Callithrix jacchus: one gene and its partner. The protein of the gene in region 1 interacts with the protein of each later gene in a pairwise test. Links are inferred from orthologs where the notes say so. Each region holds a gene or a part of one and is shown on either strand. Other genes may lie near its edges.

Evidence for each region. The genes of interacting proteins can lie anywhere in the genome.
Region 2: the proteins of NEK6 (region 1) and HSD17B14 interact in binary tests that used the Homo sapiens proteins (3 or more experiments, as listed by UniProt). The two-hybrid records come from large-scale screens. The link is inferred for Callithrix jacchus from reciprocal best matches to the Homo sapiens genes NEK6 and HSD17B14.

Annotation. Positions count from the first base shown.
Region 1 is NC_133502.1:172,948,289-172,953,573, forward strand, and holds part of NEK6 (serine/threonine-protein kinase Nek6), read left to right. Parts: intron 1-1,543; coding exon 1,544-1,652; intron 1,653-2,509; coding exon 2,510-2,617; intron 2,618-5,285. UniProt on the Homo sapiens protein: Protein kinase which plays an important role in mitotic cell cycle progression. Required for chromosome segregation at metaphase-anaphase transition, robust mitotic spindle formation and cytokinesis.
Region 2 is NC_133523.1:42,661,713-42,666,997, reverse strand, and holds part of HSD17B14 (L-fucose dehydrogenase), read left to right. Parts: intron 1-3,926; coding exon 3,927-4,031; intron 4,032-5,285. UniProt on the Homo sapiens protein: Catalyzes the NAD(+)-dependent oxidation of L-fucose, yielding L-fucono-1,5-lactone, which rapidly converts spontaneously to L-fucone-1,4-lactone. Can also act on D-arabinose and L-galactose, with lower catalytic efficiency. Does not use NADPH.

The sequences.
Region 1 (5,285 bases):
GTGACGCCAGGGGCTCCCAGCTACAACTGTCCCACTGTGGGAAGCATCGAGACTTGGGTCCCAGCTGGGTGCTGGCTGACCTTGGCCATGTTCCTGAACCTCTTTGAGCTCAGTCTCCCATATCAATGGTTACTGGTGTTACTAGAAGTGAGCTAAGGGGGCCAGGCACAGTGGCTCACGCCTGTAATCCCAGCACTTTGGGAGGCCAAGGCAGGCGTGTCACCTGAGGTCAGGAGTTCAAGACCAGCCTGGCCAACAGGTCAAAATCCCGTCTCTACTGAAAATACAAAAAATTAGCCAGATGTGGTGGCACATACCTGCAGTCCCAGCTACTTGGGAGGCTGAGGCAGGAGAATTGCTTGAACCCAGGAGGTGGAGGTTGCAGTGAGCCAAGATTGCGCCACTGGACTCCAGCCTAGGTGACAGAGGGAGACTCTAACTCAAAAAAAGAAGAAGTGAGCTAAGGGCTTGGGCTTTCTAGGTGGGAGACCTGGGGTTGAGCTGTGATTCTACATGAGCCCAGCCCGCCCTCAGGCCCGGCATGGTGGCCACACCCTGCAGGTGCTCTGAGAGTGCCTGCCCAGGTCCTTTCCTCCACCCGCGCCCCTTCCCAGACTGGCACGTCCTGGGTCAGTCAGTTCCCAGCTCTCCAGCACGAGAGCAGCTGCCCTGACCAGTGGGCCCACAGCGCCGCCTCTGCCTGCTTTGGGGAAAGGTGGTTACTTTGAAGCAGAAAGCCCCTGAACAGAAGCTGGCATGCAGGTAACTGATGAGGGAGTCCTGCCGCACTGGCACTGACGTGGGCCTGGCGTCCAGGAGCCATCCCCGTCTCGAGCCGAACGCTGGCTGTGACATGCTCTGGGCCTGCCCTCTCCAGGACCTCCTGTTACTTTAGAGCTCACTCAGTGCCATTGGGGGCTTTCTGTGTTTGTTTTCTTCCTGGAGCGCTAAGTATGTTTTCCCAGGCAGCGAAGCCTGTTGGAACTGGGGTTCCATTTGAGTGAGTCAAGCCCATTTCCTCAAGGTTCTCGCTGTGCTTGTTAAGAATCTCGGTGCACTGAGGTCTGTTGGTTCCGAGGAGGTGGGGGCGGCTGTGATTTCACCACCACGTGTGTCCTGGGTGCCACCCTCCTGGGCCAGGCGAGGGGCCAGGGAGAGTCCACACCCATTTCAGTCCAGCAAGGAGCGCCCTTTCAGGGGTGTGTCCAGAAGGTTCTGGAAAAATGCAGTTGAGGCCCACTTTCAGCATATTTGATCTGGGGCTCCATGCAGCAAAGCCATCTGGACACGCCAGGCCTGTGTGGCCCTCACGGAGCTTGCAGGGTGGGTACAGGGTGGCCACGAAGTGCCATTCAGGTAGAAGTAGAGGCACAGACACAGCGCTCTTGGTTCTGGGCTTATTTTTGCTCAGCAGCTCAGTCTCCCACCCCGTGCCAGTCACCAGCTGTCCCCCGGGGAAAGGATACAGGCAGCGCCCTGCAGCCACCCACCTCCAAGCCCGCTCACCCGGATCTGTCCCTCTGCCTGTCTTCCTTCACTGCAGTACTTTAAGAAGCAGAAGCGGCTCATCCCAGAGAGGACGGTGTGGAAGTATTTCGTGCAGCTGTGCAGCGCCGTGGAGCACATGCACTCACGCCGGGTGATGCACCGAGGTACGCGCCACCCACCAGCCGCCGCCTGGAGCCCGGGGGCCCCAGAAGCCCCAGGAAGACGCATCCCCTTGGCTCCTCCAGGGTCCTCGGGCAGCCCCTTGAGGAAGTCAGACCACTCTGTTTTCCCAGGCAGGGTACTGTCCAGCCACCACCCACTCGTGTCAGTGTCCTCCCCGAGGTGGAGATGACATGAGCCCTAGGGGGCAGGGGCCCCGCTTGACACACCACCTGCAGTTCCTAACAGCAGCCTGGGAGGGAGGTCGGGGAAGCCTTGCACAGAGGGGACTTTGGTAGGGGCTTTGCCATCTCAGCGGGATTTGGCTGCACTGAGAAGGAGAGGCACCAGAGAGGGGCATTTCCACAGTAGACGTCATTCCAAGTGGTAAAAAGGAGCCTTCTGGGTGCCTGGCAGGATGCAGAGTCCTCTGGGTAGGCTGACACCTGTGTTCCTTTACTCTACCTGTATCTTTCAGTGTCTGCTGTACTTGAGACCCTGCCCTTGCTAGGGGGGTACAGTGCAGGGCGTCCCACTGAGCACTTCATTACACAGACTCCCCTGAGGGCCTCCTGTGTGAGGCACTGTTCTAGGCACAGAGGATACAGCTGTAACAGGAGCACAGAAACCCCTGCCCTCTACACCCTCGCAGCAGCTCTGTGAGGTTGGTGAAGGGAGACCCATTTTACAGGTGAAGACACTGAGGCTCAGAAACGGTTAATTTCTGGAGATTCCACAGCCAGAGCCAGGGAGTAGGACCTGGGCTGGGCCTCACCTCACCTGGAGCTCCCCTTCCTCTCGCCCTGCCCCACCTACTGCAAGCTTCCTGCCCCACACCAACCTCCTTCTCCTCACCCCACAGACATCAAGCCTGCCAACGTGTTCATCACAGCCACGGGTGTTGTGAAGCTTGGTGACCTTGGTCTGGGCCGCTTCTTCAGCTCTGAGACCACCGCAGCCCACTCCCTAGGTAAGGGGGGCCTGTGTGTGCCCAGCAGCCCCCAGTGGTCCTAGAGACTGTGCAGGGAGACGAAAGCATTCTCTCCACGTGCCTTTGGTCAGTTTGTGCAGGAAGATGCCATCTTGAAGCCTCAGAGTTTCTCATCTCTTCAGGACAGTGACCCAGAAGGGAGTCAGCTGTGGCCAGAGGAGGCTGGCTGGGGCTTCCTGCACCATCTGATCACCATCTGGGCCTTGCGAGAGAAGCTGACTGAGCCAGTTGCTTGGAGTGGGAGATGTGTCTGTTGAAGGGCAGTCATCCTCCCATTGCTGTGAGTGTCCCATTCACAGGCAGCACCCCGGGTCCATCCCTTCTGGAGGGTGACGTTTGTGCTGTTCCTAGTTTTTGGCTTTTAAACTGGCAGTTTAGAAGCTGTGGGATGAGGTGCCTGCCAGGGAGGAGGTGACATTGTAGCTGGACCATAAAGGGTGACCAGGTGCTGTTGGGACAGGGAAGGAGGGAGCAGCGTTCCAGGAAAGAGTGGGTGAGCCTCGGTGTGCGGCTGAGCTTAGCTTGGCCAGGGTCCTTGCAGGAGCGGCAAGAAAGGTGGGCCGGGGCTTGAACGTCGAGCTCAGTGGGCTGGACCCCACTCTAGGGGTCAGGGGTTGCTAAAAGACTGGACTTGGGAAGAGACTTGGTCACATGTGTGTTTTGGGGACATGTGAAGCAGTGGCAAGCTTCAGAATCCATACACTGGGTATGGAAGCAAGTGTGACAGCTGGAATGCTGGATGATGGAGGATCTTTCATTTAATGAGAACATAGGACCCAGGACAGCCCCCCTGCCTGCAGTGGAATTCAGGAACAGAGTCTCCTATGCATTACTCCTGGGCTGTCTGGGTTTCACCACAGCCGTCTGTGGGAACCTTTCCCAGAGGCCCATGGAGTAGGGGAGGACCCTGCTTTCTCAGGGCTAGTTCTTGGCTTTCTGAGGTACGTTTGCAGAAGAAGATGTCCCAGGCCCACCCCGTGTGCTGCCCCCGCCAGCATCTACTTCCCCAGGAGGGAGCTGGGCCCCAGGAGCTGCTGGCTGCCTCCCTGAACACCGACCCATTCCAGCCCATTTCCACCCCACTCCATGGCTCAGGCCAGGATGTCTCCCATCCCCAGACCCCAAGTGCCTGCAGCAAGCTGGGTGTGAGAGCAGCATTGTCTGGGCAGAGGCACTTTCTGGAAGTCACACTTGCCTATGGAAAGTGTCACTGTTCACACGGGTTCCAGTGAGACTCTCAGTGCGTCGCACACAATTAGGAGAAATGTACAAACCTAAAGACCAGCAGCTCCTAGCAGCTGATGGAGCCAGTGCGGGTGGCAGGGAGGGTGTTGTGTTGAAACTCTTATCCCCATCTGCCTGTGGGGACACCTGGCCAGGCCTCTTCCTTTAGCTCCAAAGGGAAGATGTATCAGGAACGCCCCCCTTGGGAGTATGGGACACTCCACTCATACCCTTGACAGCCCCAGGCATCCAGAGGCTCCTTCCGTGTAGCAGACGAAGGATCTGAAATCCAGGCACTCGAGAGATTCTTCCGAGGTCACAGCAGCAGGCCTCTCTTTCCAGAACCCACGCTGCTTCCTGGAAATGAGGGCCGGGGGCCCAGACAGATACTGTTGGAGCCCCCTTCAGGGACCCAGGCCACTGACTCTGTTACTGGAAGGAAGCCTCGTCTTTCCCTGTCCCCTCAAACATGGACTTTTCTTGTGAAAAACCAAGTGTTTCGTTGAGTTTGGGACTATTTACCTATCTGGTTGAAGAGCTTCGAAAAGACCAGGAAATTCAAGGGAATCTGTCAAAGAGAAGAGTTAAAACCGCTGCCTCCTGTCCCCTGTCAGTCAGCTCCGAGCCTTTCTCTGTCCCACTGCAGAGAAAAGACTGCGGCGCTCCGTCAGAGCCAGTTAGGATCGCATCATTAGGAAGGGGCAGAGATGCGTCTCATCCGACAGTGTGATGTTATTGACTTGGACTGGTGCACTTATTATATTAATGAGAAGGAATTGGAACTTGGGAGAAGGCCGCTCTCATAAGCCAGGCTCTTCCCAAGCCCTCTGAGCATGGCCAGGCTGCATGATGGGTGGAAGGAGCCCTCCTGGGGCCTGTCCCCGCTCCAGGCTGTGTGCCCAGCACCCAGGAGATGTCCAATAAGCTGAGGACTGCACGGGGCTGAGCAAGTCCCTGCTAGCAGGACAAGCTCCCAGAACCAAGGCCTGTACTGCCAGGTTTCAGGATGGTGACAGTGCTGAGCCAAAGCCCAGGACCTGGGTGTGTCTCCAAGATACAGGAAAGACCCCTTCCACCAAGCTAAGTCTCGCGCACACATTTGCTCAGGCAAGAGACTGAACTAATTATCATCGCATGGTGACTCAGGAGGGACATAGGGGCCAGGGCCACCTCACACCCTGTGCGTGGGAATGAATTATGCATCCGCCACATCTCATGTGCACCTACTACGTGGGGATGCTGTGGTGGCAGCCACGTTGCCCTGGCAACCACCTCGTCTCCTAAGACCGCTGACCCAAGAGCTGGGCTTATGCAAATCTGGTCTCCTCTCCCCTCCCCCCTCCTTGGACCCCCTCCCCGCCTCTGTATTTGCTAACACGAGGCTGGCATGAAAGGGCATTAGTCAGTGCCATGGTCGGGCTGA
Region 2 (5,285 bases), on another chromosome or scaffold:
CGGCTCACTGCAACCTCAGCCTGTCTGGTTCAAGTGATTCTCCTGCCTCAGTCTCCAAAGTAGCTGCGATTACAGGCATGTACCATCATGCCCGGCTAATTTTTGTATTTTTAGTAGAGATAGGGTTTCACTATGTTGACCAGGCTTGTCTTGAACTCCTGACCTTAAGTGATCTGTCCATCTCAACCTCCCAAAGTGCTGGGATTACAGGCATGAGCCACTGCACCTGGCCTAAAGTTCTTAATACTTAGAGTTGTGAGAATTTTTTTTTTTTTTGAGATGGAATTTTGTCCTTTTTGCCCAGACTGGAGTGCAATGGTGTAATCTCGGCTCACTGCAACCTCCGCCTCCTGGGTTCAAGCGATTCTCCTACTTCAGCCTCCCAAGCAGCTGGGACTACAGGCACCCAACACCACGCCCGGCTAATTTTTTCAACTTTTAGTAAGGATGGAGTTTTGCCATGTTGGCGAGGCTGGTCTTGAACTCCTGATGATCCCAGGTGATCCACCTGCCTCGGCCTCCCAAAGTGCTGTGATGACAGACGCGAGCCACTGCGCTGGGCCAACACTTGGGGTTGTTGGAAATTCTTGTTCGTTTATGTGTTTGGGCCTCAGCCTGTCCAGCAGCAAATACTGACTCTGTCTGGTGTCAGGTGATGCTCTGTGGGCATCAGTCATCCCTCCATGCAGTCTCCTGGCTTGTAAAATGGGACTCTCAGCTGTACCTCCTAATCCTCCTCTTCCTCCTTCTTTTTTTTTTTCTGATACACACATTTACTCTTGTCACCCAGGCTGGAGTGCAATGATTTGATATCAGCTCATTGCAAACTCCACCTCCCAGGTTCAAGTGATTCTCTTGCCTCAGCCTCCCAAGCAGCTGGGATTACAGGCATGCACCACCATGCCCAGCTAATTTTGTATTTTTAGTAGAGATGGGGTTTCACCATGTTGGTCAGGCTGGTCTCTAACTCCAGACTTCAGGTGATCCTCCGGCCTCAGCCTCCCAAAGTACAGGGATTACAGGCATGAGCCACTGCTCCCTACCAGCTGTACCTCCTTCTTGTAGGTTCAGGAGAATATTAGAGGGATGAAATGAGCTAATTGCTGAGGACAGGGCTGGACACATACCAGGCCTTCAGTTCATTCATTCATTCATTCATTCATTCACTTATTAATTTACTCAAAGGATATTTATGCAGCATGTGCTATGTGCCAGGAGCCGTAGTGCTGGGAAAGAAACAAAATAAGAAATCTCGACCAGCCCTCATAGGTTTCTGCATCCTGGTGGGAGAGACAGAATGTGAACAAATAAATAAAATGTATATGATCTGTCAGAAGGGAGTGTGTACCACAGAGAAAAGACATCCGGAAGAGGGAAGGGGGCCCAGGAGTAGGGGGACTGCAGTTTTATTTTATTATTTTATTTTTTGGGACCAGGCATAGTGGCTCACGCCTGTAATCCCAGCACTTTGGGAGGCCAAGGCTGGTGGATCACGAGGTCAGGAGTTCAAGACCAGCCTGGCCAACATTGTAAAACCTTGTCTCTACTAAAATTACAAAAATTAGCTGGGTGTGGTGGCACATGCCTGTAATCCCAGCTACTGCAGAGGCTGAGGCAGAGAATTGCTTGAACCCAGGAGGTGGAGGTTGTGGTGAGCTGAGATAGAGTCACTATACTCCAGCCTGGGTGAGAGCATGAGACTCCTTTTAAAAAACAAAAAACAAAACAACAACAACAAAATTATTCTGGTGTGGGGGCACACACCTGTAGTCCCAGCTACTTGGGAGGATGAGGCAGGAGAATCGCTTGAACCTGGGAAGTGGAGGCGGCAGTGAGCTGAGATCGCGCCACTGCACTCCAGCCTGGTGACAGAACAAGACTGTATAAAAAGGAAAAGAAAAAAGAAGAAAAAGAAAGACAGGGTCTTGCTAAGTTGCTTAGGCTGGTCTCAAACACCTGGGCTCAAGCAATCCTCCCTCCTCAGCTTCCCAAAGTGCAAGGATTACAGATGTGAGCCACTGAGCCCGGCCTGCAGTTTTAAACAGTATGGCCAGGGAAGGCCTCGCTGAGGAGGTGACCTTGGATCAGGGTTTGAAGGAGCTGAGGGAGGGTGTTTACCGAGGACAGTCCCTGTTTAGCATTGACACCGTGGACTGAGAGTACCAGGTCCCCAGAAACCCTTCAGAGTCCTGGGCAAACTGGGATGGCCAGAGACCCTAGGAGTGGGTCACGTGGCTCTGTCAGGAAAAGGTGCTCCAGGCAGAGGGAACAGCAAATGCAAAGGCCCTGAGGTTGGAACACGCAGGGTGGGTCTGAAGATACAGCACAGAAAAGGGCGGAGGCCATTGTGGTGGGGAGTGGAGAAGGCTTGAAAGAGTCAGTGGTTGAACAAAATGTCGGAACAACAATTAAAAAAAAAAACGCCGGGCACGGTGGCCTGTGCCTGTAGTCCCAGCTACTCGGGAGGCTGAGGTGGGAGGATCGCTTGAGCCCTAGAGTTCTGGGCTGTAGTGCGCTATGCCGATCAGGTGTCCGAACTAAGTTCGGCATCAGTATGGTGACCTCCCGGGAGCAGAGGACCAGGTTGCCTAAGGAGGGGTGACCCTGCCGAGGTCGGAAATGGAGCAGGTCAAAACTCCCGTGCTGATAGTAGTGGGTGCGTGCCTGTGAATAGCCACTGCATTCCAGCCTGGGCAACATAGCAAGACCCCGTCTCTTAAAAAAAAATAGATAAATAAATAAGAAAGAGTTGGTGGTGGGAACTGCACAGGGAGCTGATTTAGATTCCCGCTCTGAGAAGCTGCTGGGGTGCCGCCTTGTATCAGCTGGTCTTAAGTGGCAGGGACAGGCCTTGCTAGGCCAGCTCAGCTGCCCAAGGCAAGCGAGATGAAAAATAGAGTTTGAGTTTATCCAAGGTCATGTGTAGTCAATGAACACACACATAACAGAGAGAGAGAGAGAGAGAGAGAGTGTGTGTGTGTGTGTGTGTGTGTGTGTGTGTTTATTTAGGGACCTCCCAGGTGGCCAGGGAATTGAGTTGCAGGAGAGAAGGTGGCAGGAAATAGTGCATTTCTTTCTTTTTTTTTTTTTTTTAGATGGAGTCTCACTCTGTTGCCCAGGCTGGAGTGCAGTGACGCCTTCTCAGCTCACTACAGCCTCTGCCTCCTGGTTTCAAGCGATTCTCCTGCTCAGTAGCTGAGAATCCAGGCATGCACCACCGTGCCTGGCTTAATTTTGTATTTTTAGTAGAGATGGGATTTCATCCTGTTGGCCTGGCTGGTCTCAAACTCCTGACCTCAGGTGATCCACCCGCCTCCCAAACTGCGGGATTACAGACGTGAGACGCTGTGCCTGGTCCAGAGTGCCTTTCATTAGGGCCTCATAGAAACCATCTTCCCCCCAATAGATAAAAGAACCTCCTGGCTGGGCGTGATGGCTCATGCCTGTAATCCCAACACTTCAGGGGGCCAGGCAGGGAGGATTGCTTGAGCCCAGGAGTTTGAGGCTGCAGTGAGCTACCAGCATTGCCGCTGTACTCCAGACTGGGCCACAGAGACTTCACTGGAAAAGATCTTCCTCCCATTTTTGAAAAATGTGCAGCCTTCTGGATCTCTCATCGATTTTCCTGACTTGATAAAGACAGGAATTGAGTAACATACAAAGACCCAGGGAGAGGGGAACAGAGAGAGACAGAATCAGACACCCAGGAGAAGAGAGAAATCCCTTCCCGACAAGGAGAGACTCCTTGAGTGCTGAGACCCAGCGACCGCAGGGCAAATCAGAGAGGGGTTTATGTTAGATGCTGTCTCTAGCAGTCACTGAGATAAACTAGGAACATGCCGGAGAGAAGGCCGTCATCCCAGACTTCAGGATGCCTGGGGCTGTTTCAGGGCTCCTGCGGTTTACTTGGCCTCTTGTCTCCCTAGCTTGCCCTCCCCCACCTGCGGAAGAGCCAGGGGAACATCATCAACATCTCCAGCCTGGTGGGGGCGATCGGCCAGGCCCAGGCCGTTCCCTACGTGGCCAGTAAGGTACAACAGCCCCTACCCCTTCTTTCCCTCCCTACTCCTTCCCGTGGGACTTGGCTTTGAGTCCAGACACCTACGGAGCCGGACCTAGCAAGATCCCTAGAGAGAGTCTCACACTCAACTCCCAGATTCAGCACCCAGCTGTAACTGCCTATAGCAGATTTTTGTCTTTTCATTTTCTTTCTTTGTTTCTTTCTTTGTTTCCTTCCTTCCTTCCTTCCTTCCTTCCTTCCTTCCTTCCTTCCTTCCTTCCTTCCTTCCTTCCTTCCTTCCTTCCTTCCTTCCTTTTCTCTCTCTCTCTCTCTCTTTTGAGATGGAGTTTTGCTCTTGTGGTCCAGGTTGGAGTGCAATGGAGCGATCTCAGCTCACTGCAGCCTCTGCCCACTGGCTTCAAGAGATTCTCCTGCCTCAGTCTCTCCAGTGGCTGGGATTACAGGCATGCGCCACCACGTCCAGCTAATTGTGTATTTTTCATAGGGATGAAGTTTCACCGTTCAAGATCTGAGGTCTTGAACTCCTGACCTCAGATGATCTGCCCACTGAGGCCTCCCAAAGTGCTGGAATTACAGGCGTTAAACCACCACGCCCAACCCTTCTTTTCTTTTCATTTCTCTCTCTCTCTCTCTCTTTTTTTTTTTTTGAGACGGAGTCTTGCTCTGTTGCCCAGGCAGTGGTGTGCAGTGATATGATCTCGGCTCACCGAAACCTCTGCCTCTCAGGTTCAAGCGATTCTCCGGCCTCAGCCTCCCGAGGAGCTGGGATTACAGGTGCCTGCCACCATACCCAGCTAATGTTGTATGTTTACTAGAGTGGGGTTTTTCCATGTTGGTCAGATTGGTCTTGAACTCCTGACCTCAACTGATTCACTCGCCTTGGCCTCGAAAAGTGCTGGGATTACAGGCGTGAACCACCATGCCCAGCCCTTTTCTTTCTTTCTTTCTTTTTTTTTTTTTGAGACAGGGTCTCACTCTTGCCCAGGCTGTAGTGGCATGATCTCAGCTCACTGCAACCTCTGCCTCATGGGTTCAAGTGATTCTCCTGCCTCAGCCTTCCCAGTAGCTGGGATTACAGGCATGTACCACCATGTCTGGCTAATTTTTGTATTTTTAGTAGAGACAGGGTTTCACTATATTGGCCAGGCTGGTCTTGAACTCCTGACCGCAAGTGATCCATCCACCTCAGCCTCCCAAAGGGCTGGGATTACAGATGTGAGCCACCGCACTCGACCTTCCTATGACAGATTTCTTTCTTTCTTTT